Mytilus edulis: one gene and its partners. The protein of the gene in region 1 interacts with the protein of each later gene in a biochemical or structural test. Links are inferred from orthologs where the notes say so. Each region holds a gene or a part of one and is shown on either strand. Other genes may lie near its edges. The genes, in order: leucine-rich repeat serine/threonine-protein kinase 2-like; dual specificity mitogen-activated protein kinase kinase 7-like; protein arginine methyltransferase NDUFAF7, mitochondrial-like; cyclin-G-associated kinase-like.

Evidence for each region.
Region 2: of the proteins of leucine-rich repeat serine/threonine-protein kinase 2-like (region 1) and dual specificity mitogen-activated protein kinase kinase 7-like, one has a biochemical effect on the other in vitro, tested with the Homo sapiens proteins (2 studies listed by BioGRID). The link is inferred for Mytilus edulis from reciprocal best matches to the Homo sapiens genes LRRK2 and MAP2K7.
Region 3: the proteins of leucine-rich repeat serine/threonine-protein kinase 2-like (region 1) and protein arginine methyltransferase NDUFAF7, mitochondrial-like form a complex in vitro, tested with the Homo sapiens proteins (2 studies listed by BioGRID and IntAct, with this or other methods). The link is inferred for Mytilus edulis from reciprocal best matches to the Homo sapiens genes LRRK2 and NDUFAF7.
Region 4: the proteins of leucine-rich repeat serine/threonine-protein kinase 2-like (region 1) and cyclin-G-associated kinase-like interact on a protein array, tested with the Homo sapiens proteins (3 studies listed by BioGRID and IntAct, with this or other methods). The link is inferred for Mytilus edulis from reciprocal best matches to the Homo sapiens genes LRRK2 and GAK.

The regions. Positions count from the first base shown.
Region 1 is NC_092344.1:55,466,960-55,475,575, forward strand, and holds the start of leucine-rich repeat serine/threonine-protein kinase 2-like, read right to left. Parts: upstream 3,675-8,616; 5' UTR 3,590-3,674; intron 1-3,589. Other genes in the region: 3 beta-hydroxysteroid dehydrogenase/Delta 5-->4-isomerase type 1-like, read right to left, coding at 7,434-8,002. UniProt on the Homo sapiens protein: Serine/threonine-protein kinase which phosphorylates a broad range of proteins involved in multiple processes such as neuronal plasticity, innate immunity, autophagy, and vesicle trafficking.
Region 2 is NC_092345.1:19,164,757-19,173,038, forward strand, and holds the start of dual specificity mitogen-activated protein kinase kinase 7-like, read right to left. Parts: upstream 3,635-8,282; 5' UTR 3,582-3,634; coding exon 3,404-3,581; intron 506-3,403; coding exon 391-505; intron 1-390. UniProt on the Homo sapiens protein: Dual specificity protein kinase which acts as an essential component of the MAP kinase signal transduction pathway. Essential component of the stress-activated protein kinase/c-Jun N-terminal kinase (SAP/JNK) signaling pathway.
Region 3 is NC_092346.1:102,471,756-102,480,206, reverse strand, and holds the start of protein arginine methyltransferase NDUFAF7, mitochondrial-like, read left to right. Parts: upstream 1-5,186; 5' UTR 5,187-5,267; coding exon 5,268-5,319; intron 5,320-6,919; coding exon 6,920-7,065; intron 7,066-8,159; coding exon 8,160-8,240; intron 8,241-8,451. Other genes in the region: ERO1-like protein alpha, read right to left, coding at 4,835-4,939. UniProt on the Homo sapiens protein: Arginine methyltransferase involved in the assembly or stability of mitochondrial NADH:ubiquinone oxidoreductase complex (complex I).
Region 4 is NC_092344.1:120,085,723-120,093,674, forward strand, and holds the start of cyclin-G-associated kinase-like, read right to left. Parts: upstream 3,630-7,952; 5' UTR 3,531-3,629; coding exon 3,398-3,530; intron 1-3,397. UniProt on the Homo sapiens protein: Associates with cyclin G and CDK5. Seems to act as an auxilin homolog that is involved in the uncoating of clathrin-coated vesicles by Hsc70 in non-neuronal cells. Expression oscillates slightly during the cell cycle, peaking at G1.

The DNA of each region.
Region 1 (8,616 bases):
ATCTGTTATTTTTCTCCATTGTTGAAGGCTATGATAAAAAGATCATAACATGTCATTTTTCATATCACATGTATGCCAGGCGGCTCTTGGGCTGATATTGAACCTAGGGCTGATAATACATGCGATATGAAAAATGCCATGTAATGATCTGATATCACTTAGTATTTTGTGCATTTTTCCTATGAAAATAATCTATAATTTAACTATTTAATATTATTTGGAAGCAGCTTTTTAAAGATAATTTTGGGGTGAAATTAAGTTTGGCAGGAATTGGTCTTTCAATAGACTTTTTTTGGAATATTCATTCATTAGAATACTTTTGTTAAAAGTGGGCATTAAAGGGGATGAAAATCTACAATTTTTTTAATTGGTGCCTATTAAAATGTTTAAACCTGCTGTATTTGGTGCAAAAGACCATACTTTGACCTATAATTGTTTACTTTTACAAATTTAGACTTGGATGAGAGTTGTCTCATTGGCACTCATAACACATCTTCTCATATCAACATGATAGATGTCATGTGTATCAGTATATTTGCCTGCAACTAGAATTTTGAAAACCCACATTATGCCCTGCCACATATGCACAACATAGTGACATCATTGTTTTCAGGCACATTATTATCAGCATGAGGATGGCGTACTGAATGACAAAGAAGAAGGCGATGTTCTTCTACTGGCTGAAAGTCATGACAGTGCCAGAAGGCGATGTTCTTCAATTGACTGAAAGTCATGGCAGTGCCAGTGAGTAGCAATTATAAAATGATAAAAGAAAAATCATAAATCATGTTATATTTTTAACTTAGGGACTGACCATTTACTTTCAAAAAGGGGGAGGCATATATGTTACTCAGTCTGGTTTCTGATCTGAAAGAAAAAAATACAATAGAGCTTATTTTGTAATATGTTTGTCAATTTGCCGAACCAAAATAAAGTTTTACTCATGTCACCTATAAAGATATATAAATTTAAAATTATTTTCATGGGCGCACTCCAAAAATGTCACTTTGTGACATGATAGTCAACATGGTCAATCAGTTGACCTTGGCCACTTACTGTAAGATGAAGAAGAATGTCAAATTTGGACTTCCAAGACTTGTTACTTATAGCATCTCCTCTAGCTCTATAAAAATCTTTTGGACCTGCAAACAAAATGGGAACTCGAAGCGTCGGGGAAAGAAACTACCAAATAGTGCTTGCAATTACATAATTTATCTAAAATTGAGAAAGGAACTACACAGTGCTCAGTGGCGGATCCAAAAGGGGGGGGGGGGGGGTTCCCGGGGTTGGAATCCCCCCTTTTTTTTTGCCGATCAATGCATTTGAATGGGAGCATATAGTTGGAACCCCCCTTTACTCTGGGTTAATTGGGACCCCCCTTTTTTTAAATGGCTGGAGCCGCCACTCACTGCACAGGCACTTGTCTCAGAAAAAAAAATCGTATATACCTTATTGAGGGCCCTCATGGGGTTTTTGATTATGTGATTACTTGGCCGTTTTTTTAATGATTATTTGATTATTAAGCCAAATATTTCATGATTATTTGATTACCTAGGACTGTATTTTTAGTTTATGATTATTTGATTACTAAAGATAAGCAAATATTTAATGATTATGTGATTATATTGGCAAAAAAATGGTGATTATGTGATTACTAGGACCCCCCATGAGGGGCCTCCTTATTATAACTTCAGGTATATAGGGATCTGAGACGAGTGCCTGGAAAGGAAATGGGGATAATGTCTAAGCGACAACAACCCGACCATATATATATAGAGTAAACAACAGCTGGAGGCCACCAATCATCGGGGTCTTCAAAGGAGCGAGAAACTCCCGCACCCGTAGGCGTCCTTCAGCTGGCCCCTTAAAAATATGTACACTAGTACATACCAAACTCCGAATTATACACAGGAAACTAAAATTAAAAATCATACAAGACTAGCAAAGGCCATGGGTTCCTGACTTTGGACAGGCGCAAAATTGCGGCGTGGTTGAACATGCTTATGAGATGATCTGAACCCTCCCCATTACCAGTCTAGCCAATGTAGAAAAGTAACGCATAACAATACGCACATTAAAATTCAGTTCAGGAGAAGTCCGAGTCCGATGTCAGAAGATGTAACAAAAGAAAATAAAAGAATCGTTAAAAGGTGACAGGAGTGGACTGACCACAAACTAAGACTTTGGTTTGCTATTTATTCTAACTTCAAGACTTAGATATCTCAAAACTAACACTTGTTTATAAAAAAATATATTAATATAACACAGGTATCGATCTAGCATAATTTGTCTATCCAACCTAGAGACGTACATGATACTATATATATATGTCTTTGATTCAAATGAAACTTGTGTAGACCATAAGCTTAAAGTTATCTTGATTTTATATTATGAACGCGCATTTTCGTTGTTAGACAACACTACATCATCAGTGAAGGAAAACTAAGCCATGCTTAAAAAACGAAGCGAAAGACAAACAACAGTCTACAAAACACAGCATAGAAAAGTCCATGCTTCACCAAACCTCTGACAAATCTTGAAAACGGCAATGACCCCATGCATTCTGTCAGGAGGCGAAAACGGGTTACACAATAAACACTGAAGTTACACCACACAACCTGGCACAATTAATGCCGCTGCGTCATGTTCAAGTTTTCTTACTGGTTTTCGTATTTTCCCGTCATTTATAGAAAAATATAGCGAAATCCTATATTAGAAAAAAAAAGATTTATACCCGCGGCTGCTTTGGCTGTCCACTAGACAAAAATGTGTTCTAGTGTGAAAATGGACGTCACAATCAACTCGAAACATATATTTAAATAACTTTAAAAGGCTTTGGACAGATTTTTGGACCGTGATAAAAGGTGCTGAGGAGTTTGTGCTGGGAAATAATTCAGAGGTTCCATTTAGAGATTTTCCATATTTAGGACAGTTTATTAACAAGCTCAGGCATACCAAGGAGGTTATATGACCTCGTGACATAACCTCACTGGGCATACTGATACATCTAATGATATAATGGCAATATAAAGTCCTCATTTAGGTCCCATGCAGTAAAGATATATAATACATATATATATCTGGTCCCAGACGTAAGGATACCGGGTAGTTCTTATACTGACTATCCAGGGACATTATATACTAATATAGTTAGTATAGACTATCCATGTTCTCGCTGAGAATAGTATAGTATATGTGCAAGGTCCTTGCAGGAACACACAGTTCGATATACGGCCATGTACTAGCAAACCATGCCAATGGTATACCGTTGAGGTCGTCGAATTGGGTGTAATTACATAAGTTTACACATTTTGTTGAAATAACATTCTCTATTATAGGTTTCTGTGATGACCTACCACGTATATATTATAGTATGTTGACATTTATTTATTCATAATTCATTGAATCTTATTTATACAGAGAAGTTATTCTTTGAGTTTGATAGCAGGAGTAAAAGATGGTCTATAGTGTTTGTATTTTCTTTCCTGTTCACAAATAAATATATGCGGCGGTGTAGATTGTGTTTCAAATTAAGAGTGTTTATTTTGGGTCTGAATTGGAAAACGTTGAACGTAAATATTGTATTTACCTGAAATATGAATATACACACCATAATTGATTTGTCCATTTCCTGTGTTATAAATAAAATTCACCTGATTTTAAGATCATGTGAGATAAAATTTTAAATAGGTATCCGATTAGCCCAAATGTATTTATAGCATTTGTACATACATACCCACTTTTACACATATCTTTTGGCGATATTTAACATGTTAAAGGGCAAATAGTATGGCTGAAATTTATAGACAGAATAACTTACTATATGAAATTTAGCTTACATGTCTTTATACTGCTCCTAGCAGGATCAATTGCCCCCCTTTCGGTTGAAGTTTGAGGTATTTTTTGTTTATTTTCTTTGTTTGCTGCTCCACATCTCTTTGTACTAGTTTACAAGACTGCAAACGTACATGAACGATGAATTTTATCTCCCGAAGTAAAGCAAATTAAAGACAATAACTATAACAAAGAAATGAAAATAATAAAAAAAAGAACCTTTTATATGTTTCATCAAAATTTTGTCTTGGTTTGTCATGAAATTAAAGTCAACGGATACTGTTCATATGATTGACTGTAAGAAAGAAACTCTAAATTTTTAAGAACTTTGAAGGAATATACAGTGGTCATTAATTTTTCAGTTATAAAGTTGAGCTATAATTTATACTTCTTTTCATATAAAATAAAAAGATGTTGTTTGACCCAATGACTTAGATGATCTTAGATGTTAGCATTTATAGGCTACCGTAAGCAGACATTCTACAATAAGAACTTGAAATCCATACCGCATAAAAGCTATAAAAGGCACCGGCACAACAAATGTAAAACAATTCTAACGGAAACAAGTATTCTAGCATGATAACAGTTTTGATGGTATCTACTTTAACTTTAAGTCAAATATCCCAAACTTACCAGCCATTCACTGTGGTGGATAGGCCTGACACACACACTTTAATAAAAAAAAAAAAACCATTTATAATTATAAACTAGGCATGCATATAATGTTACTCATATAGAAATGAAATTTTTGGAAAGGCTGAAATTGTCTTCACACAACTTTGACCGTACATTACTAACTCGATAAAGTTTATGGCAGTATTCACTGAATTGTAGGAAATTAATAAATAGTGGCATTTCATATCCAACACTTAACGACAACGCCATTTGTAAAACTAAAAAGTTTATGAACTGTTCTTACATCTTGTTTCTTCTCAGCTAAGGGACGACATCAAAAGATCAATGTAAGATAAAAAAAAAACAAAAAAACTTAATAGTTTGGGTGGGGGTTGAACTGCTGCAAGATTTGGCTATCCGACATTGATTTTTACATATATCCACATGGGTCAATCAATTTTTCCCAAATTAAGTTAATAGGGGGTAGGGGGGTCAGTGAAAAAACTATTTGAATTAAGTTTTTTATCCTTCATTGAACTTTTAATGTCGTCCCTAATGGGCTTACTAAATTTTAATGTTGACTTGTGTTAAATTTTTGTTACATCCTGGTAATTTGTTTTTTTGCAATATAAACATCAAATAGATCTTTAACAATTGAAATCAAAACTACAATGTTTCTTTAGGTTTTTTGTATCAAAATTTCATACTGGTTTGTATTTTGCCATGTATGAAAGATCGTATCTGCGTATACAGTAGAAGGTTATATTTCATGAACTACGAGCATTCTTCTATACGGATTTGTTTAGTTTTGTTTTGTTTGTAGTTGTGTTTTAGTCAGCTATTATGTGTAGACTATAGGACAGTTAATGGCATCACTTTAAAAGATGTGTTTCCTCTTCCATATATTTGAATGAATGAAATCTGTATTTGCAAAGTATATGTAGTTAAATGCTATAGCAACACGAACATATTTACATTATGACACACAATAAACAGCAGAGAACAATATTAAAAGATATATCAATTTAGATTTTTTGAAAATCTAAAATCAAAATTGACCAAATCTGTAATTTTGGCAAACCGTGATTAAAACCATTCATTTATAACAGTGATACAAGAAAGAAAAATATATTTAGGGGCTGCATGTGTTATCACAAACAGATAATAGAATATGCACAATTTATAAAAAGTTGTATCGGCTTGTTTTCATATTCAAAATGAAATAGTGTGTCACAAAAAAAGCTACTAGTACTTCCAGTCGATATCTTACTTAGGCACTTCAGATGTAACTAGCTTTGAGTAACCTGTATTGTTCGAATAATCAACAATGAATTCCTTAACATGGCTACTGCGATTGCAATCTCCGAGGGTTTATAACCCTGGTGCTTAGAGATGATGAGTGAATATGATATTGAGATTCAACATTATAGACATGGGTTTGACCATAAAACGATGATGATTCAAGTAGTCTCTTGCAAGCAATGCGGTAACAAGATTGGTCGTGAAAAGGAAATACAATCCGATATTGCGCTCCTCACGCAGACCTTTATAAGTTGGGTTTAGATTTTAACTTGATAAACATGAATGTTTTAATTGTTAGGCAAATGTAACTTTTTTTATCATGCAATAGCATAGCCTTCCTCTCGTATTTACCAAAGTCAATGCTCAGTTGAAAATGCCAAAAGTCATGGCCATGTCTGTTTTATTTAACTTAGAAGCAACAGTAATTTACTCTTCTTAATCTCAAAAATTCATTTAGAAGATACAAATGAATAAGAAACAAGAATGTGTCCCCAGTACACGGATGCTCCATCCACACTATCATTTTCTATGTTCAATGGACTGTGAAAATGGGGGAAAATCTCTAATTTGAAATTAACATTAGAAAGATCATATCATAGGGAACATGTGGACTAAGTTTCAAGATGATTGGACTTCAACTTCATCAAAAACTACCTCGACCAAACACTTTAACCAAAACTTTAACCTGAAGCGGGACAGACGAACGAACGAACGGACGCACAGATCAGAAAACATAATGCCCATAAATGGGTCATAACGAACACAACCCGTAATATTCGCATTATCTCTTCACAGATTGAGACCGGATACGATTCCACACTATAACAAATTGTCACAATAAGATTTATACAAAAGTATGAAGGTATGATTGCAAATGAGATAACTCTCCATAAGAGACTAATATAACGTAGAAGGTAAACAACTACAGTTACCGTTTAAGTATAATTATGTTTATTTCATACGATCCTGGCATGTCAGCAACTGCTAGTAGCTATAGTCCTTTGTTCATTTATGCATCATTGTCATTTTGTTTAGTTTCTTTTGTTACCTTTTCTGACATCAGACTCAAACTTCTTTTAAACTGAGTTTTATTGTGCATATTGTAGTGTGTTTGTTTTTTCTATATTGGTTACAGGTTTAGGGGAGGGTTGAAATCTCACAAAACATGTTTTACCTCGCTGCATTTTTGCACCTGTCCCAAGTCTGGAGCCTCGGGCTATTCTAGTTCATTTATATATTTCGGAGTCTAGTATGATGTCTATTATCAGTACACTTTTTTGTTTAGGGGCCAGCTGAAGCACGCCTCCGGGTTCGGGATTTTCTCGTTGTGTTTAAAACCTTTCGGCTGTTTTTTGTGCTCTTTGGGCGTCCCTCTTCGACACATTTATCATTTCCATTCTCAATTTGATTGCTTGTCAAGTTGCTTTTTTTCAAGGCACATATTAGTTGTTCAATTTGTGTAATTGAGTATCGCCAATTTTTAGGAATGTTTTCTTTGGTTGTGATACGTATTTGGCATATAATTGATGCTATTGGGGTTTACTATGCAAACGACTGGGGTTTTACACGACATTACGTTTTATCTTTTTTCCTTGTTTTCATTTGTATGGTGCAGTTTATTTATTGACACTTTTCTGTGTGGCCATAACTAAAAATCAAAATAGATTATAGGAAAAATATAACTAGTGTTTCTTTTTATTATCAAAGTTAAGTGAATTATAATACTTAAGTGAACATTTGTAACTCTCTACGGGAGTGTACAAAGGTTTGTACTGTAACATTTTTCTAGCTTTTGAATCGTCGAACGACAGCGCTAAATTTGTATATATAAGTGTTGCTGTTGTTACTGGAAATTGCACTTTCTTCAATGGTGAAATTAAAAACAGTAAAATGTGAATAAAACTTATCAGTACATACAGAATCCAATAAGGAACAAACGACCGATACAATGATATATTGAATGAATCAAAGTATGGTTTACAAAACTTCATCATTGATTTATTAGGACTGTTATCTTTAATAAGAAAGGCTTCGCCTCCAAGCGTTTTATCTGACCTCATTGCTTTATAAGCACATACAAAAGCCCAAGCTATATTTCCAACGTAAACAAGACAACATGCTCCATTGCCACAAAAATCAATCATGATCTTTTTGTTTTGCAGTCCAGCTTCTATAGCCTGAGGTATAAAATGTTGATCAAGCTCTCCATAAATTACCATTGGTCGCAAAGAAATGGTTCGAAATGCAATACCTGTAAAGAAATCTACATAAATATATGTACAATGCTATTAACAAAATTTAAGCAAGAATCTTCAAATAAAAGAGCATGTATTACAGAATAAAGCTTAACCGTAGCATGGACTCCGTATTGCTCACTTTAAATTGATGATTAATGGTTTAATGTGCAATGGCAAATATCAATATGCATGGAGACCAACAATTTAATTATGTATTAAGTAAAAGTTAGTTCTTCAAAGTAGATGGACAGGCTGGGTGAACATACATGAAATGTGGAATGCCCATAAATACAAATTGAAGGTATTTAGTTAAGGGCAGAAATTTAGTCTCGCACAATGCTGCTTGCGGACCCCATAAAAGTGTTTGCAAGGGTTCGCTGATGTACAGAGACTTCGGATTTAAATTGTTATTCTGTCCAAAAGTAAACAGCGTAAAAACGGCTAATATAAAAAAGAAGATGTGGTATGATGCCAGACAGACAACTCTCCACAATAGAACAAATGCTTTTTTTGAGCATTAAACGGTAAAATGTCAAAACTATGTCATCAACAACGAATATTGTTTATGACATTTAATAGTAACCAGTACTTTTACCAGTACTTACTAATTTCAGCTAAATGTCACTCA
Region 2 (8,282 bases), on another chromosome or scaffold:
TCGAAAAACTTACCTCTGGTTAGTAGATATTTACATGATTTAAATACATTGAATTTTTCATTATGTTGAAACAAATAAAATCATTTTGCATACTTTTCCTCAGCTTCTACCAGTATTAAAAAGATTATTTTAACTGCTTCACTGCACAACACTTATTAAACTTGTGTTTTTTGTACATGAATACTTAAACATATTACAATGTAATATTAATGTAACTGTACATGTACATCATGATTTACAGCCAATTTCATTTAGTGTGTAGGGAAAGGTAGAATCCTTGGTTAGCTTGCTTGTTAACTGAACCGTGAAGACATTATTAGGTAAGGTATTTTACCTTTCCCTACACACTCTATGGAATCGGCTGTAAAGAAGTTTTACATGAATTCTTACCCATCATACTGCCTAGGTGCTCTACTTCCTCCTAAATCTAAATTAGCTGCTGGTCTTCGTCTTCCAGGAGGAGGTGCAGAACTTGGCCTAGAAAATGCAGTCCCTATTTCACCCACTAAAACAGAAAATGACAAAACAATAACACATAAGAATAGACAGAGGCAAACAATAAACTGCCTACATTTCCAACACATGCGAGTTACAGGTAATTAAAAGATGATGTGGTTCATGTCTGTATCATTTTCATCTGTGTTTTGCTTCTGTATATCATTATCTTGGCATTAAGGACCACAATATTTGTTTACAATGAAATCTTCATACTTCCTGTCCTACATTCACTTCTATACAGAGGCTCACTTGCATTGATAAAATGTTAATATAGTGAAACTGCAATTTGTCATGCTAGAGTGAAGAAAATAAACTCATCAGATTCCTGACTGAACATTTTGTTTTTAAGACATGCTTTCATCTACAAAAGACTCATCAGTGATGCTAGAACGAGCTTGTGAATTTACATATAACTATGATTCAATTTTTTAAAGAAAGAAAGTTACGGTAATTAGTTGATGGGGTACAGTTTGTTCACCGTTGTGGTCAGGTTAATTTTTCATCTGCCAATGGTATAATATTATAAGTATGTATAGAAGTCTGACTTGTAGACTTGAATTGATACTTGTACAATGATCCAAACTCAGTTGATGAAAAAATAAATAAATGAGTCTTAAACTAAATATAATGAAATTTCAGAAATTACTGCAAGATTAACATAAATGAGGATGTGACTAATGTGATGAGTGAGTATCCCAATAATAAAACTTGCATTCTGATATCTGTATATACTTGTATGCAGATTTTCATGGTACACATGTAATCCCAACGATTATAGAATAATCTTATATTCTAGTCAATACTTCAAAATTCACAATAGTTATTGTAAGCAAATTATTAATGAGGTTCATTTTACATGTACATGTACCTATGGTTTGATTGATTGATCATTTTTGCTTTGTCAAATAGCGAAAAATAAATTCCTATAATTTTGAGATTCTGTGCTTGAGCACATGTTCGAGTGATTTTCTGATTTTGCTGCCCTCAGAATCCCTATCAAATCCGTATTAATGCTATTTACATAAAATTTGTGCAAGATTCCTCGCCTTTGTTGATTGCTTTAAAGTGTTCTACATTGTACCACCCTATTCCATCAATCTGAAGTCAATAGTAACTGAACAGAAAACATATTTGCCTTTCAGAATCTTGAAAATATCTTACTTTTTAGACCAACATTAAAAATGTCTTTTTTAACCCTTCCCATCTGAGGTTTTCAGGATATAGGTATACATGTAGGAAGATAGGCTGATTATTTTATTTTATTCCTTGATATGGTTTTCTATGTAGAATTTGTACAAAATTCAAAGATAGACTTTAAAGCACGATTCAGGCCATGTTTACCCAAACAGCATTGAAATGCTTTGATAGACTTTCTTAGGGCGGCCAAATTGGAAAATATCTAATTTACGCGGTAAATATTGCCACAAGGGATTAATTTGCCACTGGACAAAGCAAAATCAAACAATCAATCCAACTGTAGTCTACCTGTACATATACATGTATATGTTAATTGGCACTGTATAAATGCCACTCAAATCAATTCATCCATGGGAATCATTAATTAATACTTCAAATGCTCACATTTTTATCATGCTTATAATGATATTTGCAAGTATTTGTATATACAAATCCTTGATATTTGCAAAACAGTATTCTGTATTCTGTAGGTGTCGCTGTTGACACTGGATTGTCTCCCTTGTAATTTTTCAAGTCTAGCGTGTATATATTTCACTCTGGTAAACAACTCACTTGTACTTTAAGATATATACTATTAGGTGGCAACTGCTTAACATATTTTTACAAAAATTAAAAAGATATATACATTTATTAATTAACATGAAAATTTAAAGGAAAAAAAAAATTAAAAAATTTAACATTACATTAATCAAACCGGCGCGACTCGCAAATAACATGAATAAAGTCACCCAACAATCGCATTAGTGTTTCATTAGAGACGGAGACATTGTCGTTTTTTTTCCATTGACAATAAAAGTTCCAAATCAATATGCAACGATCCTGTGTTAAAGTATATCTCATGTATAAGTTTCTGTCTTGCCTCTTCATAATTTTCACAAAATAATAAATAATGTTCCACAGTTTCTAATTGACCACATTCACACTTGGGGTCTATATTTTGATTGACTTTGTTTTGGTAATTTTTTAGGTAGTATCCGGATCTTAAATTTCTAATAATTTTTGCTGTTTTATGTTCTGGATAATCAAATGTAGATTTTTTGCTGACGGTCTGATGAAAGTTATAATAAAATCTTCCTGTATCACTATTATCCCATCTATGTTGCCACTTTTTATTTACTAAAATTCTTGCTGCTGTTTTAATATCTTGTTTAGTTACTGTAATATGAGCTTCTTTTTGAATTTGATTTGCCTCTTTAGCTGCCTCTTTAGCTAGTTTATCAGCTATTTCATTTCCTCTTACATCTGCATGTCCTGGGGTCCAATCAAAATTAATTTTTATTCCATGGTGTTTTTGGATTGATTTAATAAGGGAAATAATTTCATGTGAAGTGGATCGATGATTTTCAATTTTCCAGTTTAATGTTAAAATTCCAATAGCTGTTTGACTGTCCGAAAATATTTTTACTTCTTCTATTAATGTTTTATTTTCAATTCTGCTTACATAATCTAATACTAATTTTATTGCAACAAGCTCAAAACAGTCAAATGATAACAAATAGTTGGATGAAAGCTAAATATTAATCTGATAATGCTGAATTCCAGGTTTGTCATTTCATTATAATTTGAATATAAGATTAATGTATCGAATAGAAGCTAAAGAATTGTATAGTTTTAAATACAATAGACTGTTTGAAGGGATAAAGTCGGCAAAATTGTGTTAATAGGGCAATAAATTCCATTGTTTATGTTTAACAAACTGAAAACGTACGCCCAGGTCTAGGTCTTCTAGCAGGACTAGGGTGTCCCGATTCTGCCTTTGGTGGTCTCGAAATTGGGAAATCATTTCCCATAACCATAGGTTTTGTTCTATCATGATCCCTTGATTTGTTTTCAAGCTTCAATCTTCGTTCTAACTCATTTATTTTTTGCTGTAGAGTCGAAGACATTTTGATCACATGATAAAATCGGAATCGGTAAACTGCTTGTGTAAATCATTTGTGCGCTTTAAATATTTACAGTTATCTCCTGGGAACCACTAATGACAGGACGATTGCCCGGATAGTGACAGGACGGTTGACCGGACGACATATATATAGTCATAACTTTTTTGTTATCCGATAGATTTGTTTAATATTTGTAAACCTGAAAGATATTAAACTATATTTTATGAATATAAAAAAAAAGAGGAAAAATAATTATTTTTGAGCAAAAAAAGTTGACCGGACGGTATTCACACTCGCCAATATACGCTAAATATATATTCAACTGGTTGACGACAAGTGTTAATATCTCTTTTGTTTTACAATATTTGTCCATGAAACTCAGGAATCTGTGAGATTTATAAATATATTATACGAAAATATAAACTTGATTGCAAAAAAACGTGTTTTTCTTAAAAAAAAGTTGACCGGACGGTATTCACCCTCGCCGATATACGCTATATATATATTGAAATGGTCGACGACAAGTGTTAATATCTCTTTTGTTTTACAATATTTGTACATGAAAATCAGGAACCTGTGAGATTGAATAGTATATTATACGAAAATATAAACTTTAAAGTAAAAAAGAAAAAAAATCTGCAAAAAAAGTTGACCGGACGGTATTCACCCTCGCCGATGTACGCGTTGATTATATTGAACTGAGCGACAAAAAATGTAAATATTTTTTTTGTAAACAATATTTTTTCATAAAACTGAGATATGTGCGAGATAAATAAATATATGATATGAAAATATAAACTCTATGATAAAAAACTTATTTTTCTTAAAAAAAAAGTTGACCAGACAGCTAACATTCGCCGATATATGTTAATAATAATAAATTGATTGACATAAGTGTTAATATTATTTTTTTTACCATATCTGTCCCTGAAATTTATGAACATTGGAAATGAATAAATATATTATACGAAAAATTAAACTATATATTTAAATCCGGACGGATTTTACATTCAATCGATATATGCCTTAATATATTGAACTGATCGACACAAGACTAAAATATCTCTTCTTTGGTTATAATATTGTTAATAGCAATATTTTATGAAAAAATAACCTTTATAGCAAGGATTTGTATAGTTAGAAATCCTTGTTTATAGTTAATAGTTTATATTACTATCGAATAAATGAAATTGTTTCAATTTGTTCAAATGGTAAAAATTGGCGGCAACAAATTGTTAACCGACCCCTTCCGTCTGCCAGAATAATTCTGCCCCCTGCTCACCAACGGGGAGGTGGAAGTGGGAATTTCGAGCAGGATATACCTTTTATTTCAAAATTACATCGTTATTACAAAAAAACAAATGTGGTTCATTCACAAAGCAAATACAGGAAACAAACACAAATTCATACAAATTAGACAGTTGAACGGTGTTCATCACAGAGCCAGTCCCCTAAAACATTGGAACAACTCTGGTGAACCCACTTGCTGCAAGTGACACGTCCTCGTTTGCCTTCACATCCAAACATATTTTCCAATATATCAGGCTTACCACAAACACAGCTACATTCAATTTTTCTTGTGTGCATCTTGACTGAGTCAGCACAAGAATTTAGTGATTGAGGGAATTTAGAAAAGTATCCCAGTTCAAGGCATTTAATCAAATGCTCTCTCATTACGCCTTTTTATAACTGCATTCATGCTTTCACATGCATTATTGGTAATGCCAGAATATGGATCATAAAGGTTTTGGTATTTATCAATTACCCATTTGCCACTGTGAGTAAGAATGTCCTTTTCCATCTTTTCAAAGTATACTACTACCGGTTTTGACCACTTTCTGATTAATTCATCTTTTAATTTGTGTGATCTGAACTGGTTGAAAGTCAGAGCATAAATGACTGAACAATTGAATAGTTATTATTAGGTGAGTTAAATGTTAATCTGAAATCCTGAACTTCATAAAATTTCTTCTTTAATTGGATACTAATTACCAACTGATTATAAGGTAATTCAATTAAATGTATTTGATATCTCAGGTGTGAAAACTTTAATGACATGTTATTTGGCTTGATTGGTGATTACAACAAGTGTCAAAATTAGATTAATTTGATTAAATATCATTACTTCTAATATGCATTGGTGAACTCGCTCACATAAACATTTTGGGCTCATTGTTTTTACTTTAAAGTTTATTTTTCTTGTAAAATATTTATCTAATCTCACAAATTATTTCATTTCATGGACAGATATATTATAAAAATGAAGAGATATTAAAACTTGTGTTGATCAGTTCAATATATTTAAATAATAATATCGGCGAATGTTAATTCCCTCAGATCAACTTTTTTTTTTTAAGAACAACATTTAACATATTTGATATAAGGTTTATATTTTCATATCAAGTACTTATTGATCTCTCAGATTTCATAAATTTGATAAAATAAAAGAGATATAAACACTTGGGTCTACCAACTTATATTAAGGCATATAGCTAACGGCGAATGTTTGTTCCGTCCGGTCATCTTTTTTTGAAGAAAAACATTTTTATTTACTATAAAGTTTATATTTTCATATCAAGTATTTATTGATCTCGTAGATTTCTTAGTTTCGTGTAAAAATATTGTAAAACAAATAAGATATTGACACTTATTTGTATCAGTTCAATATAATTAACGCGTACATCGGCGAATGTGAACACCGTCCGGTCAACTTTTTTTGGAGACAAACTTTTTTTTTCACTATAAAGTTTATATTGTCGTATCCAATATTTATTATTCTCACAGATTCCTGAATTTCATGATAAAATATTGTAAAACAAAAGAGATATCAACACTTGTCGTCGACCATTTCAATATATATATAGCGTATATCGGCGAGGGTGAATACCGTCCGGTCAACTTTTTTTTTGAGAAAAACACGTTTTTTTGCAATCAAGTTTATATTTTCGTATAATATATTTATAAATCTCACAGATTCCTGAGTTTCATGGACAAATATTGTAAAACAAAAGAGATATAACACTTGTCGTCAACCAGTTGAATATATATTTAGCGTATATTGGCGAGTGTGAATACCGTCCGGTCAACTTTTTTTGCTCAAAAATAAATATTTTTCCTCTTTTTTTTTTATATTCATAAAAAATAGTTTAATATCTTTCAGGTTTACAAATATTAAACAAATCTATCGGATAACAAAAAAGTTATGACTATTTATATGTCGTCCGGTCAACCGTCCTGTCACTATCCGGGCAATCATCCTGTCATTAGTGCAACCCTTATCTCCTGACAACAATTCCAAACTTGTTCGTGCACTCGAGTTCGTGCATAATAATTTAATGAAAAGACGAAATAAAAACGAAACAAGAACAAAATAAAGATAACTGGCCAATTGCATTAGGAAGGCTGAACGATGGCTTGATTATGTCACTTAAATGTCCAAGTGTTGTATCATTTACTGTGGCAAACAAGGTGGTTTCAAACTCGTCACATGATACAAAGTTGACCTTATAGAACGTTTTGACTTTTTTTTTGGAGCCAACGTGTTTTGTAAATGACATAATAGAGAATTCAAAGATATTGCTTAATTAGTTAAACTAAGACTGCTACCTTTGTTAATTGGTCCTAGATGTAAAGTACTAGCTATATATGAAACGAGTTTCTTGAAATTTAAATATTATCGAGCTTATTGGATTAATGCATGCATTCCTGTTTGAATGGTCATTTTTGGGGCCCTTAAAAGACCGTACTTCAACCTATAATGGTTTACTTCTACAAATTGAGACTTAGATTGAGAGTTATCTCATTTGGCACTCATACCACATCTTCTTTTATCTATATATACTAAACTTAGCCGTGCATGCACCCTTTTTCTATATTTATTACACATTTATAATAAACTGACGAAAATAAAAATATTTCATCCAGTGGATGTTGATGTGTTTAATGTCAAAGTTTGCCAGATCCTGACATTGATAAATAAATCAAACAGAGCACACGGAAAGCGTGACAGATAAGTGAATTGAAAGAGCCGTGCCATTTGTTTTTTTTATATATCCATGCGTTCCCATTAAGGTTAATTAAACTAGTCCATTGACAGTTTCTAAAAGTAGGGACGAAAGATACCAAAGGGACAGTCAAACTCATAAATCTAAAACAAACTGACAACGCCATGGCTAAAAATGAAAAAGACAAACAAACAACACCACACACGACACAACATAGAAAACTAAAGAATAAACAACACGAACCCCACCAAAAAACTAGGGGTGATCTCAGATACTCCGGAGGGGTAAGCAGATCCTGCTCCACATGCGGCACCCGTCGTGTTGCTTATGTGATAACAAATCCGGTAAATGGTATAATTCGGTAGGTCACATTCATGAAAGGGAAGGGGATTGTATTTACAACGTAAGGAACATATCCGATATCATTTGTAAAACGGTTATTCCATAACGGTCAACCAACTCGTGGTGGCGTCCGTAAAATTTACGAAGGGATGATTTCAACTTCACCATTTGGAACTCTTGGTTTAATTGCTTCCTTGTGAGCAGCAACCCTCTATCAAGAAAATCATGATAGGAAATGCAAGCACGGGAATATCGTATCAATTGGGAGATATATACCCCGTATGCAGGTGCTGCTGGAATGTTGCTACTTAGAAATGGAAAGTTCACAATTGGAAAGCTGAAATCATCTCTTTTGTCG
Region 3 (8,451 bases), on another chromosome or scaffold:
CTTCATATCAGTATATAAAACCATACTACTGTAAAATAACAATATCTGAATTTGTCAAAATCATTTTTGCATAATAAACTTATTTTGACATCAGTTTTTTACATTCATTAGTATGTTTAGATTTCTTTCTACATGTTTTTTTTCTTTCGGTCTATATGTCATGTATGTTATATACATTCATCTTAATTTCTTTCTAGAGAATACATGTGATGCTTTTATTGCATTATAAGTTTGTGAAAATTATACTTGTCATCTGCTGGAGTCCATTTAAGAGGACCTTAGTGTTGCTCACTTCACCTTCTACTAAATATTTGTTATCATTTCTTACTATAAAAAAATATAATTATGTTTGATGTTTATATTTTAGAGGAATAGATATTTGCAAATTGGCCAAACAGAATGAAAAAAATATATACTACTTATTAATTTTTTTTTACAAACTGATGAAAGTAAATATCTTTTATTTTAGACTGCTGCCTAATTGATGCACCTGATAAAGAAAGATCTCAGATTTAGTCATCAGTGAAATGAATTTGGTACAATGTATGTAGTTTAAAGGCAAACATGCGGAATTTTTTTTACAAATTCAAAATAAAGAATTACTGGTCGATCCACAAGAATATAATATAATTCATTCAAAAAAGTAGAGGATGGACATTCAGTGATAACAATAGCTAGCCTCACATTCCCCATTTGCATTAGGTGGGTCAAATGAGACAGGTTGGCTTTTATATGAAAAATAAAGTTGAAATGATTAATTATTTCATATATTGAGGAATGAAACAAAAGATTTTTAGAAATATGTTTTTATTCCATCAATATGGTTAATACAAAAACAATTAAAAATGTCAATTATATTAATAATGGTTACATACAATGTATATGAATATGTCCACTAAAATATATAGTAACAAAAAGTAAAATCACAAAAATACTGAACTCAAAGAAAATTCAAAATGGAAAGTCCCTGATCAAAAAGCAAAATCAAAAGCTTCAACACATCAAATGAATAAACAACAACTGTTACATTACTGACTTGGTACAGAATTTCCTTAAAGTAGAATATTATCAAAATTGCTATAGTAAGGAAGGTAAAAAAATATAGGTGTCTACTAAATATCAGTCATCATGACTATATATATTGTCAGGGCTAGCTTGATCATGTTGATAATAATATACATGTAAGAGATTCTGTATTTTTCCATGTTTTCAACATTTACCTTTTACATTCCCCATTGGCCACAGAATCTCATATTATAAGATTTTAAAATAGTTAATAGTTATATAAGACACATGTTGTGTTAGGCTCTGATCCTGTCCATAACGTTATGGTATGGTATTAGTTTTCTGTTTTGCTTTTTTCCAATCATATTGTGTTGTAAAATGATGCCCTTTATGGGTTCTTGATTAGATTAATAAAATTTTTATCTTATCTTATCTTAAATAACAATAGATATATAGGAAGATACATAATTAAATATTCTTAAGGAGGCTCGCAGGTACAAAAATTTCAGCAAAATAAATATATTTGTTTTCTCATTACAAATTTTATTTACAAAATGTATTAAACTATTACCGTAGTTATTACTTTATGATATGGTACAAAAATCAACCATAAAAATCAATTCGGTTTGACCCTAGATGACTTTTAAAATGTTTATATCATTGAAAAAGCTCCAAATTATCCCCCTTTGGTGCAAAAATGCTGTTTTTTTACATTAAAATTGATGTATCTTTTTAACTCAATGGTGACCTATATTTTTCATTATTGTTTTCAAATAAGCTGTACACAAACTAAATAATTGTAAAATTTAAGCGATTTCTGTTTCTCCTATTAGTTCAACAGAAAAAAAGGACATTAATAAAATGTATGCTTCTTTAAGAGGCAGATTGTGAGCTTAAATGAACGGTGAACCCATTTTTTTATTTCATTTTTCTATTAATAGGAGGCAGATTGTGAGCTTAAATGAACAGTGAACCCATTTTTTTATTTCATTTTTCTATTAAGTATATGATAAAGTTCATCTAACAGGCTATTATTTGAACTTGGAATTATTTTTAATTATGGAATTTGCATAATTTCTTGCGTTTAAAATTTTTAATAGATTCCATGTTTATTTGGTATTATAATCTTTTGAGCGGTTTTAAAATAACACTTTCCATACAATGTATTTTGGTTAGATAGTGTTGTGCGCAGCACAGTACATTCTATTGAAAATATACTATTTTCTTTGTAATAAAAAGTGTTGTGCGCAGCACAGAACATTTCAGTACAGAATAAACATGGAATTTATTAAAAATTTCAATAACAAGAAATCAAGTAAATTTCATAATTAAAAATAATTCCAAGTTCAAATAATAGTCTGTTATTTATAAAAAAAATATAGCAAAATCCTATTTTTCAACAAAAAAATGATTTATACCCACGAGCCCCCTGTTAAAAATGCTGTATTACTGCAGAACTGACAGACGTTATAGAACATTTTTATTTAGGAATAATAAGCTGAAAGATGACCTGACAACCCCATGATTTTACAAGAAAACATCAAGAAAGATGAGAAAGCAGCATACATGTTTCAAATTGTTTCACAAAAAGGTTGATGCAGCAACTAAAATGTACTTCTGGACTTTAATGTGGAGATTGTAGAAGGCATTATCTTCCAAATTTGTTTTGAAGTAATAACACAAGGAAACTGTACACACTATTTAATGTTTTATAGAAAAAAAATGGAGATTTTATTGGTAGATATAGGAAGATGTGGTGTGAGTGCCAATGAGACAACTCTCCATCCAAATAACAATTTATAAAAGTAAACCATTATGGGTCGTTCTTTTAACTTGAGAAGAACATTCCCCATTTCCATTTTCAATTTTATTGATACTGTTATTAAATATTAATATTGTGTTTGTTGTTTAGGATGTCACTTTTGTTTTGGGTGACTGATTTTTACTGAGGCTTATGGTGGGATATATATTTTAATTGTAATGTCTTTTTGTTGGCTAAAGGTGCTAAAATGGCTACATTTTCCTCACAAAATTTACTCTGTGTACAGACAAACCTGTGCATCTTGAAAAGCTTAAAAGCATAGCATGACCTGCTCTGGATAGATAAATTTTGAATATGTTTCATGTTTTAGAAAAAAATATAAGCTTAACAGAATTTTGCAGTGCACTTTTTTTCATTCCCCCTGAAAGTGCCAAAATAAACTAAGTTGGGAAAGTGGTTTGAGAACTTCCCCACAGGTAATAATCGAAGTGACCTGTATTCATGGTATTGATTGACATGAACAATAGATACCCGACAATAATTGGCAATTTAAAATGTGTACCTGAGTGGACCATATCTAGTGAAACACACCAGTTTGTAAATTTTACCATCTTTGGCAGGGGCAAAAAAAAAGCACACTGCAAAAACCAGTTTAGTTTTGAATTTTCTAAATCATACAATACATTTGAAATTTATTTATCTACAAATGTAGGGCATGCATGCTATGCCTTAATTTTTTTCCAGATGACCAGGCTTGGGTTGTCTGTACTCAAGAGTAAATTTAGTTGTGTACAGTAAATATTATAAATAAATATTGATAGGGCCTAGATATTTTTACCTTTTATTGTGTAAATTATGTTATCAGTCCTTAAATATTTTAGATTTTATCCGTGTACAGTGAATTTAAAATTTTAAAGTTATTTGGGGAAAATTTTTAGTGTATAAATTTTAATTAACTCCCGTCTGGATGATATCCTTTCTAAGGAGGTGTTCCATAATTGGAAGGATTTACGTATAGAAGAAGAATGGTAATTTAAGTTCTCCTCTTTCCCAGAATAGTTGACAGCTTCCTGAATTCCCTTATTTTTCTTTTCTGGGAGAATAATTTATGTCCTTGCAAGCAACATTAAGTAATCATCATCCTTATATTAGACAACTATAAACATGTACTGTAATTTGTAAAACTATAGTATAGAACTTAAAAGAAAAACAAACATCGTACCATCTTCACGGTCATACTCTAGACACAGAGTAAGCAAGTAAATATCTTGGAGTAACCATCAGTAACAACCTAACATGGGATAAACACATAGACAATACAGTAGGCAAAGGAAACAGAACTTTGGGGTTTATACGTAGAAACCTCAAAGGCTGTACAAAACCGGTAAAGGCAGCTGCATATGTGTCCATGGTAAGACCTGCAGTGGAATATGCAAGCACAGTATGGGACCCAACCGCTCAAAATAAAATCAAGGCAATTGAACAGGTTCAGAAAAGAGCTGCACGATTTGTGAATAACAACTACACAGACCGAACACCTGGCTGTGTCACAAATATGGTTAAAAATCTAAAGTGGGAAAGCCTCGAAGAACGGAGGAAAACAAATAGATTGTGCATGCTATTCAAGATCCAGCATGAACTTATAGATATAGACCGTCACCAATATTTGACGCCGAATGATAACCGGACCAGAGGTAAAAACCGCTTCTTCCAAGAAAGAACAAGTACAGACACCTACGGCCAATCTTTCTTCCCGAGGACAATCAGGGACTGGAACAACCTACCAACAACAGTTACAGCGACCAACACCGTTGAGGGATTCAGAGCTGCCCTGAAGGCATGCTCTGAAAGGAAGTAGGAAAACCAGTTGTAAATAATTTTAATTGTATATTTTTCTGCGAACGTTTTAAATGTAATTTGTAAATAGCCAAGAGAAATCTTTCTGTGTTGCCCGACACTGCGTAAAGTTTTCGCGCGGAACCATTAACATTCAGCAATGAATCCGGTTCCTTACCTGGAAGAAGAAGAAGAAACAAAACAACACTCAACAGTGTCTAAATGTCTTACCTTACAAAAACATCCCTCTGAATTACCACTGACAGGGCCACTACTATAATTTATCGCTACAAACTCATGTAAAAATAAAATGTTCAAAAGTATGACAAGCTTCATATTAAATAACACTTTTCACGAAACTTCACATGATTTGTGTTTCCCGTGTTTATTTTGGTGACCTGCAACACCTCGGCGGATGATATTCCACCAAAATATAGTTCTTCTATTATGAAAAGTTTCAATAATCATTTCAATATATAAAAACTCGATGACACACAATATATGTTATATTATCACAAAGCAAATGATATTTAACTTTAATTTCTTGAATACTACAATATTTTTCATTGCGGATAAATATTTTAAAAACGAACGTGGCATTACTTGAAAGGATCTAAACAATAACCGTAACATAACCACAGGCAGAAGGGACCATCTCAGTAATATGTCATCCTTGACATTCAGTAAAATTACACACTGTGTATTGGGACGCAATAGTATATATTTAGTATTTACAGGGTCATTTCTGTTTGGGAATTTTGTTTACTGAAGATAAATTGATATTGATGATATTATTCATATAATTAAAAGTGAATCATTAACACTGAATATCTCTGATCATGTCTGTTAATAGTGTTGCTGAGGATATAGTCAACTAAACCATATTATTTTCTATGATGCCTTAAGGACTATGTACCCTTGTGTTGATTCAATACTTTAAAACATATGGAAATTTTATAGAAAATCCACAGCCTTCCCCCTCGTAACCTCATAATTGGCAATTCGATGCTTGATAGAGGATTATTGCATGCAGTGCTAGCAATAATTTCTTTAAAACTAGTTTATAAATTTAGATATTGGTTAAAACAAATATAAATATGGATCAATTCAAGTACACCCTTTAATGACTCAGCACAAGGTGTTTTGGAATTTAAAAGTTGTTTATGACTTTTTGTAAACAATAAACACTAGCTGATCATAGAAAAACAAGTTAGTAATCTATGTTTAAAATTTTATAACAAAAATCTTAGTATTAAAGTCTACAAAAATCTAGGTTTTATTTTCACCAAATTCTCTTTTTCTACTAAATGCAATTAAACTAAAAATATTAATGCTTTGCATGAGGTTTCCCCTTGATACATGTATATGTACAATTTGGTTCATCTTTATTATTCATTATTTTTGCTGTTTTGATACTATTGCAGTTTGAAAAGTTTGTAATTGACAGGCCACAGAAGGGGTCATATACCTTATTTACTTCAGTTTTCAAAATGCCACATAATTGTTTATACTAACTGACTAAGTTACAGCATGAGATGGGATTGGCTGTTTTGCGAATTATGTTTTTCGCTGAAAAGATTGTCATTTATATATCATGCCCTTATGATAGATAGATAGATACTGGTACTTTTATTTTTTAGTTGTACTTGATATTGTCATTTATGTAGTATGTAGTACTACATTTAGCCTTTTTTATAATAATGAACAGTGGTCATTTTTAAAAATCCTGAATCTGCCCCCAACAGTAATTAAACCAAATAGTAAAATGATGGGTTAAACCTGGTTTGATAGCTACATGTAGCTCAACCTAAACTTTATGATAGGATAAGTTAAAATAGTTGGTTAATATGAGAACTAGGAGATGTGATATAATTGTAGTTCTCTTTCTCTCCAAAGATGTCCTTTACACATCATTGGAATGAAACATTGGTATGAATGAAAAGGGACTGAGGGTTATTGTAAATAAGACAGCAAACCAACAAACATCACTTAGATATACTATTTTCCATTGCAACAAAAAATATCAAATGGCTAATACTGTGGATTCATTTATTTTTGTGGGTATCAAATTTCTTAGATTCAGTAAACATTGCATTTTTGTGGATATTTAATTTCGTGGTTTTGTCAATTTATACATACAAGAATATAGAACATTTGTATTTGGTTGAACATTTCAATTTGTGGTTTCGTCTAAACCAAGGAAATCCATGCAAATTGATATTCCACGATTTAAAATGAATCCACAGGAAAATAAAGTGTAGTTTACAAATATCTTCTGTTAATCAGATCATAATTCTAACTTTTCATGTATTACAGGCTTAGGATTATTCAAACATGGAAGAAGTTACTGCACAAAGCTGAAGGAAAATAAAATAATGAAGGGCTTGATGAATAAAATCAAGGCAACAGGTCCCCTTACAGTTGCTGATTACATGAGAGAAGTTCTTACCAGTCCATCAGAGGTATTGATAAATAATAAGGATATGTGGTATAGTTGCCAATGAGACATGATAAATAATAAGGATAAGTGGTATAGTTGCCAATGAGACAACTATCCAATAAAGTCCAAATGAAGGATGTAAGTAGCTGTACGAGATATTATATTCCCCTGTAATTATATGTTCTCATTGGTTTTATAACTTTGGAGATAAATGTCTTATACACAACATCAATGGCAATAATACGTGACAGTCGCACTATGTTATATAGGAAATGATGTTCATTTGTGAAGGACAATGGTTGAACATGATGTAATGATTTTATATATGAATGAAAGGGAACTGAAATTATTTTAAAAACATTTAATGTTTCGAATTTCTATTTAAATTAGCTAACATGGCCTGTTGGGTTTTGTGAGCTTTTTGCCAACATTTTGCATCCATCCACTGTCTATAAACTTTTCTTTAAAACTTTCTCCTCTGAAACTGCTTGATAGATTTTAACGCTGATTTGTCTGCTTCATCTATAGCATGTCTTCTGTAAATTTTATGATCTTTCTCCTAGTTGATCCACTGACATTGCCGACCTGTTCATAAACAGAATATAGATGTCTAACTGTAGTATTGGCTTATTTTATTAAAACAAATATAGCAAATAAAGATAAAATGACAAGGTTAAAATGGGCAGCATTCAGTTCTATATAAATCTAGTCTCAAAATTTTTGAAAAATCTATTCACCTATTTTGGAGTTTTTCCCCCCTGAAATGTTGCATATTTTTCGTTGCATCATTCTCAGGAACTACATCATACGGATTTGTGAAAAAACTATCAGGGTTTATATAAGTCAGCTATACCTGCTGTGATGCGTTTTCAGATTTATCACTAAATCGCTTCCTGTTTACCAAACACTTAAACATTTGGGTGGGGGTATCATCAGTGAGCAGTAGCTTGCAGTTTCACTTGTTATCACAGAACTTCTAGATAGAGGTTAAACATGTTAAATACCATGGATAAAGATGGACAATACCATGCTTTCTACAATGTAAAACTTTTGATATATTAACTTTGCCTGTCTGTCAATGACAACTCTTGATTATTGTGATGATTTCTATTACAGGGATATTATATGACAAGGGATGTATTTGGACAAGAAGGAGACTTTATAACATCACCTGAAATCAGTCAGATGTTTGGAGAGGTATAAATATCACTTTTGAAAAATAGAAAAATTTGATACGATTTCATAAGCATTAGTTTATATTGACCTCAATAATTGAAATAACATTTAATGTAACCCTAACTTTAAAGTAACCTTTGTTTATAGTTTTAAACTGTTTGATTGTTCATCAGTCTGTCTGTCATCTCTGCATGTTAAATAAAACTTTATATCAGATTGCAACCTTACTTGG
Region 4 (7,952 bases), about 65 Mb from region 1:
ACAACCCTAGAACAGTAAAAATTACTCTCCCAAAATTCAAACTTGGTCTTTGTTTTATTGTTAAAAGTATTACAATGTATAAGTTTTATAACATTTGGTTGAGCGAACTAAAGTTAAATAACTGAAAGAAAATATTCAGCAATTTTTTACATATGTAAAGGGGCATAACTCTAAAATGGTATAACTATAGCCACTAAAATTCAAACTTGATCAGTGTTTGTGGTAATGAGCATGCAGTGTGTATAAGATTCATAGCATTTGGTTAAGACAAACTAAAGTTAGAGTTCAGAAACTAAAATTTCCAGAAACTTTCCTATTTGTAAAGTAGCATAAAACTCTAGAATGGTAAAAGGGACGAAACTAAAATTCAAACTTGACTTGTGAATTGTGGTTATACGCATTGCGTATAAGTTTCATACAATTTGGTTCAGGCAAACTAAAGTAAGAGAACAGAAACGAATTTTGGGATGTATGGAGGTACATGTACGTACAAATAAGGGAAGGACGTACATACTTACAGCATAACAAGGAAAAAATCAATACGTTGGGAGCATAACAACAGCAGTATGACCACAGGAATAAAAAAATTATATACACTAGATTCATAGAGGTGCTTATAACCTGTAACACATTTTAGTTGCTGTTGTGAAATTAAGCATTGTCTTATGAGTAAATAACATTTGAGAATTTTTGTTTTAAGCCATTCATTTGATATATTACGGTAATCATTGCCACTGTGTTTGGATGACAAAGCAATTGAAATCTATTTATATATGGCATGGTATGCCTTAAAACTTTTCCAGATGCACAGGTTTGTCTGTTATCTATCTAAATTTTGGGGTGAAAATGCAGCCATTTTAGCCAAAGGGTTAATACGAATTTACAATAATACACCAGTGGTACGATGTAAATTATTGGAAGAAGACTGAAGAAGAACTGACGTTGGGTCAATGTTTTTCTGCTGTCAGTTTGACCCACTTGGGCATGCTTGGAATGTGAAACAATTAGTATTTAAATAACGGGAATTAAGTTTTCAAATGATTTTTGGCATCAAAATCTTCCGATCGATGTTTAGACAAAAACAATGCATTTTTTAATTTTTATTTTTTTTATCCAATCCGGTATTTACCTTTACTCGTCCTTGGCGTGAGACGTAAGACATGTATAATTTAATTTTAATTATCGAGTATTTTATATTCTTCACCTATGTTTTGTTTATAGTATCACTTATCACTTTTCAATTATCCGACGGCTTGGTCAAAATGTCAACTTGTTCTCGCATTTTAATCAGTCATTCCCGATTCTTTCGATACTCTCGGGATTTTACCACGTTTACGTAAGTACATATACATGATATAGTAAACAGGTAAAAGTAGAGCGGGAAAATGTTCATTCATGATCATTCATGAATGAAGGAAAACGCAATCTCGCGTAGATTTCTTGTGATTTTCTCTTCAGCGCATGGCAGATCCGCGAAGTAGTGTTTGAGATACTCATTTTTAAAATGAATGTAAATTAATCTGATTCGTCGGTGAACATTCATTTCTTTTTTATTCAAGCTATAATCTTTTCAGTCAAAACAGTAGGAACTCAAAATTTTAAAAGAATCTTCCAAGTATCAGAACTCAAACACATCTCAAGACAATTACATGTATCACTTCCTTTAACATAATTTTCAAGCAGTGTAAGGGAGGTACTCAAATAATCATTATCAAACATATATATATATAAATATATATAACAGTATTCTCTAAATTTTAATTGGAATTGGATTACCTCCCTTACACTGCTTTTACCTCCAACCAGAAAAAAACCTTGTTTCTCCCCTTTTTTGTCCCTAATTACTTAATGATTTGATCCATTACCCCAATAACCTTCCCTGTGAAGAATGGAAACTTGTGGTATAAATTTCAGAGAGATTTTCCCCCTTAAACACAAGTTATTGACTGAAAACTACAAAAATGCTTATTTGGACCCCTTTTTTGGCCCCTCACTTATAGAAACCCCCATCGACCAAGAACCCCAAAACCCAATTCCAGCCTAACCTTTGTATTATGAAAGCTTATAGTATAATTTCAGAGAGATCCATACACTTAAACACAAGTTATTGTCTGTAAACTAGAAAAATGCTTCTTTTTGGACCTTTTATGGCCTCTTATTCTGACACCCAGCCTTCCAGTTTCATATTATGACCATGTTATTAAGAAATTTTAATAACTTTCTTTCACTATCATGAATTTGTACCAAACTTGAACAGAAGCTTGTTTATGATCATCAAAAGCTAGTATCTAGAAGGAAATTTTGTTCAAATTTTGAACCTGTTTATCTGTATTTTACTTATAAATGGACTTAGTTTTTCTTCCAATTTAAAAAACATACAGTCTGCAGTTTAAGTTTTTAAAACAATTACTAGATTCATAAACTTATGATCCTGGATTCTTAGCAAAAGTAGGTGCGATGGGTTCTGCGGTACCCTTACAATTTTTTTAAAACTGAAACTGTTTTAGTGGCTATGATTATCAGTGTTTTAATATTAGCTTTTTACTTTTAGCGCTTTTTTAACAATAGTAAATGTATGATATGCAGATGCTGATATAGTATCTAGATTTATTAAGGTTTTTTTTATAAAACTAAAACTGTTTTAATGGCTATGCTTATCAGGGTTTTAATGCTTAGTTTTAAATTTAAACCAAACTCCTGCTTTTTACCCCCTTGTTTTAACTATATGGTACACATAAAGTACTGCTTTATTTGCTGATTTATTATGTGTAACTCTTAATTTCGGTTAAATTAATACATATCTGTGAAATTTAAGTTGCTTTAGATAAATAAATAAATAAATATTAATTAATTTAACCGAAATTAATGCACTTTTGATGTCTTACATTTGATGAATCTTCAGCATAAACTGTGATCCATTATTATCTCTTTTGAAATAGCATTCATACATTATTGTTTTTGCGCTTTACTACAAATGTCTATTATCTGAATTTGCAAAATACTTGTCTCAAGTTAAAAAAAATCAATGTCCATAACTTATTTCATCGACACAAGGTTGTCTCATGCCAATACAACATTGTACAATATCTGTATATTTTCACAGGGCACCTTTTCTTTTCGCCAGGGGCTATTTTTTTCCACAGGCACTTTTTCTAGTAGGACCCCTTGTCTCAGATTAAAAGAACAGTTCGATTTATAATACATCAATATTCTGAATGACAGACTTAAAATTCTAATAATCTATTAATTGATAATTGTAAATTGACGTAGAGAGGAAAGAGGCGTCCAAGAAGAAGATTTCTAACGCTTCATAATAGATGATTTCTCGGTTGTTTGCAAAGTCACAAACATAAAAGGCACGAAAGTGTGAATGTTGATATTAAAGTCGTGAAGTTACCTTCTGCAATGACCCTTTTCACACGGAGTTTCTGATTTCCCAGCTCAACCATTTGACCAACAAAATCATTCTCAGCACCACCGGGACCACCACCGCTTATTATCCCAAACGCCGACTTGAAAAAGTCTGTCATTTCTTTTTGCTTTATGATTTAGACTATCTGGACATTGTGACAGGCGTAGAGAGGTGACGTCAATTTGCCGGAAGTAATTTAATTTGCGATAATCATAAACATTCAACTAATAAATGTATTCTCACACTAAAAGATGGTGAGCTATCAGAAACCAAATATTGATTTCGATTTATAAAAACCAAGAGTTTCTAATATATATAACTAAAAATGAAATTAGTTACGACCTTATGAGATGACATATAACCGAAAAAAACAACCAGTTTAAAGTAACGCAATAAAGACCATAAATTGTTTCAGTTACAGCGGATTGACTCAATCATTGACTTCAAGTGACTTAGTCTTGAGTGTGTGGGTCAAGGTTGTATATTAGTAGGACCACAGATTGAGGATACTATTACATATATCATGTACAAACATGTGGAAGCTACTGTTTTTTTATACATCCAATCGTAACAATTTTTAATGATTTAGTCACTGTAAATAAGTCACATTAACAGTTTATGAGTTACCTATACATGTAATAAATGCAAGTAATTAAACTGATGTAAAAGAAAATGTATTTTATATAGCTAGTTTTAGTGTAAATACTGTATATACATTTTAGATAGTCTCTCATAACTCTTTTTAGAGTGGCTCTTGTATGTTTTATGATCATTGTTTTATCAACTGTTTGCATGTTTTATATATTGAAGAGGTGAGACTTAAATAAAATATTGTCTAGTCTTGTCTTGTCTTGTAAATATATCCACTGTAAATTTTTGAGCACCAATTTTATTTATTTTAATCTTTCAGTTATCAATATCTTTTTAACATAGCTATAATAGCTAATTTCTTAATAGTATGACTAAACAGATAAATGATGGCCTGCTGTATCAAATCAAATCAAATAAAATATGTTTAATTCCTAATCAAAGGGCCCTTATAGGCATATCAATTATTTATTATCATATCAATTACAAACAAATAAATCATAATAGACAAATCAAAACATAAATACATGTTTAGAAACAATATGAATATAATATATAATAAGATTCATATAAAAACAAAAGAACAGTATATGGGCGTTTTTCAATAAAAACGCACTTTCTTGTCCTAGCCACTTTAAAAAAAATGTGTTTGATCTTTGCAAGTAATTTTTTGTACAGTCAGTACATTGAATTAGAATTAACATTTTTAAGCAAAGAAGCAGTTTAGTTTTTAGAGGGATTGATAAGATATTGATTCCTGAATGGTAGAAAACAACCAAAATGGCATGTCCCTAGACCGCCTGTTCAACATCCATACTCTAAAATATCGTAAACAATGTAGAAATAAATGCTATTTTTACTTAATATAAGTTCTTTAATAATTCAAAAGTATGTTTAGAGCCAACATCATTTTAATAAACAGCTTTTAACATAGGATTTTTAATTTCAGAAGGAGTGTCCCTGACAAAATGTCCACTACGAAACGAAGTCATTAAAAATTGCTAATAAACAGTTTTATAAAATCAATGTAATTTTTGTTTTCAAGAGATATAAACATTAGGGTCTTACAAAAGAAGTGATGCTTTTATAACGGCAATTTAATCGTTGGTAAGAAAAATTGAGCACATCAAATGGACCAGAGTGATACCGTATTTTTGTGTATGTCCACTACGAAACGGGTCAAATCTCCTTCAGTATCTGGTTTTAAAATTATGAAAAACATATCAGTGTACAGCTTAAAACATGCTTTGATGAATACAATCAGTCTTGTTACTATTGCAATATAGGAATTGTGGGGGGAAATTAAAACATGTTAATATGTCCCCTACGAAACGGTCAACTACGAAACAAGTATGGGAGAAAAACGTTTCGTAGTGGACACTCCCACTACCATGCAGTCTTTTTTTTACTCTTTTTTTTTCAATTATATCCGTGCAAAACAAATAATAAGGGTTAGTTTCATGTTATTTTTATTATGTTTTTATTAACATAGAATAGGGTTGATGTCAACTACGAAACTTTTTGTCCGCTACGATACGGTTTTGTCAACTACGAAACGCATCAAAATGTCCACTACATAACATGAGTCAAGTGTACCTTCATATGTGAAGTACTGTCTAATCTTTATCGGTACAAAATGGTTCTCCAATCCAGAAAAAAATGAGATTTTTCTAGTATATAAAGTAAACAAACTGGAACGTCTATAGGAAACATTTAAAATTGCAAAAATATGTGTGTTTAGAAGCAGTTTCGTTTTTGTCCCCTACGAAATAGTACACAAATTATGAAAATTATATCATTTTATTAAAGAGTATTTAATATTGCACTTTTTGTTTACAAACAGGTCTATAATAGAGGCATTCAAAATAACTCTTGAAATTACATTTTAGACAAGTTGATTTTCCATTTTTAGGACGGTCTGAAAGTTACGCTTTGAAAAACGCCCATATATATACGACATTGTCAGTTCGGCAAAAGAAAGATAACTCTTCATCAGATATTATCATTAAAACCTGTATTAATTTTTACTTGACAGTATAATTTCTCACTTCTAAGTTTGAAGTCAAATATTTGCATAAATTCTTAATAAAATTATCATCATCACTTGTCATTATCCATATAAATAGGTTTTGCGAATTAAGTCTTCTTAGTTTTGGATATTCCATAAATAAATCATTAAGTAAAATGGTTCTTGAAGTTACATATAAAGGACATTCCAACAAAAAATGGAGTTCATCCTCAGTCACATTCAAATTACAATATTGACAAAGTCTTTCACATCGTGGAATATTCTCTACTTTACCTGACATGTTTACCCTGCGTTCATGACGACCAGTTTCAACTCTTTTAAATTTGTGATTACTTAATCTAAATTTGTTAAGAATTTATAGAAGATAGATAGGTTTCTTTACCAAATGAGAATTTAAATTTAAAATGAGTACTCAATTTACCTTTATCCTGTAAATAAGAATCTCTGGTCTCTTTCCAAGTCTCAAGAAAGCTGTTTCGGAGACATTGTTTAAGTGATTTTATGAATTTATATTTACTTAGGGTTTTACAATAAGCCAAATTAAAGTTTAACTTTTCCCCATAAAAGAGTATATTAGTGTATCAGGAATTATTATCTTTGTTTAAGCTATGTAAATGCGTATACTCCTTGTATGCATTATTCAGCAGGTTTGATGAGGAATTTTCAAGTCTGTGCCAATACATGAAGACTTGTTTTTACATGTCTATGTAAAGAGGATATCTTCCTAGTTCTGTAAGAACTCCTATATTAGTGCACAATTTAGTAACACCAAGGATATATTTACAAAATTTATGGTGAAGTTTTTCAGACTCCCAGTCCTTAAATATATCAAAGAGAGATGATGATTTTCTCTTAGGGGTTATATTAATAGTGCCCAGTTCTCACAACCATATAAAATAATAGGTTTAATACAATGATCAAATAAATGAAGAAAAGTACCAATACTAGGTAAATATGCTGTAAATATACCCCCTTACCACCTTTTCTTTTATATTAATGTTTAATTTCAATTATAAGGTCTATATTTTACTACCTTGTGACCCGGAGGAATCTACGAAGAAAAGAAAAGAAGTAGCTTTCAATTCTGGTATCCGCTATGATAAGTGTATTGTGGGAGAAGTAAATAGTTTTAAAAGCAGGGAAGTTCCTCAACATCTCATGACCCCTACATTGTTCGTTGAACTGTCAAACTTGACCGATTACTCGCTCCCGGTTGGTACAAGAAATAGAACTGACCAATCTAGAGTATTGAAGCCTCGTTGACCGTAAAGAAGAAGAGTAGGAACAGTAATTGTATCTAAAATTGTGAAACCAGTTTTTACAAATTTGTTTAAAAAATATGTTTTCAGGTCGTAGATGTGTTTGATTTGTAAATTTCATTTCGATCAATATAACATCTGTTCGTTTATAACTATATTGTTTACACGCCAAAAGGATCATTCTTATTCGCCCAATGTTAAAGCATCAGTGAGCGTGGTATAATATGAAGAAGAAAAAAAGCTATACAATCTTTGATAATTGTTTAGGAATCGATGAGACATGTCGTTTAAATTCTTGTTAATTTCATGTCTCCATATTAATATTGTTTATGATGTTATTAGTATGTATTTCAAATTTGTTCGGTTATTTATCATTTGTATGTAATGGAGAAGACGTTCTAAGTTGCGAAACTTGTGTCTAATCCTATTGTCAATGTGTTTGGACAATAAAATATGTTTAAACTACATAAAAAAATGTATACGGAAGCGCATTATTATATGGAAAGACGATATGATTCAATAGCAGAACATGTAACTATATTATTGAGATATGTACAAACTAAAAGATTTTTTTATAATGTATACGGTTGGCCTTGTATGCGTTTTTTATTTGAAAAATCAGTTAGATAATAAGGTAAAAAAACATGCTTTCATTTTTTGCTCA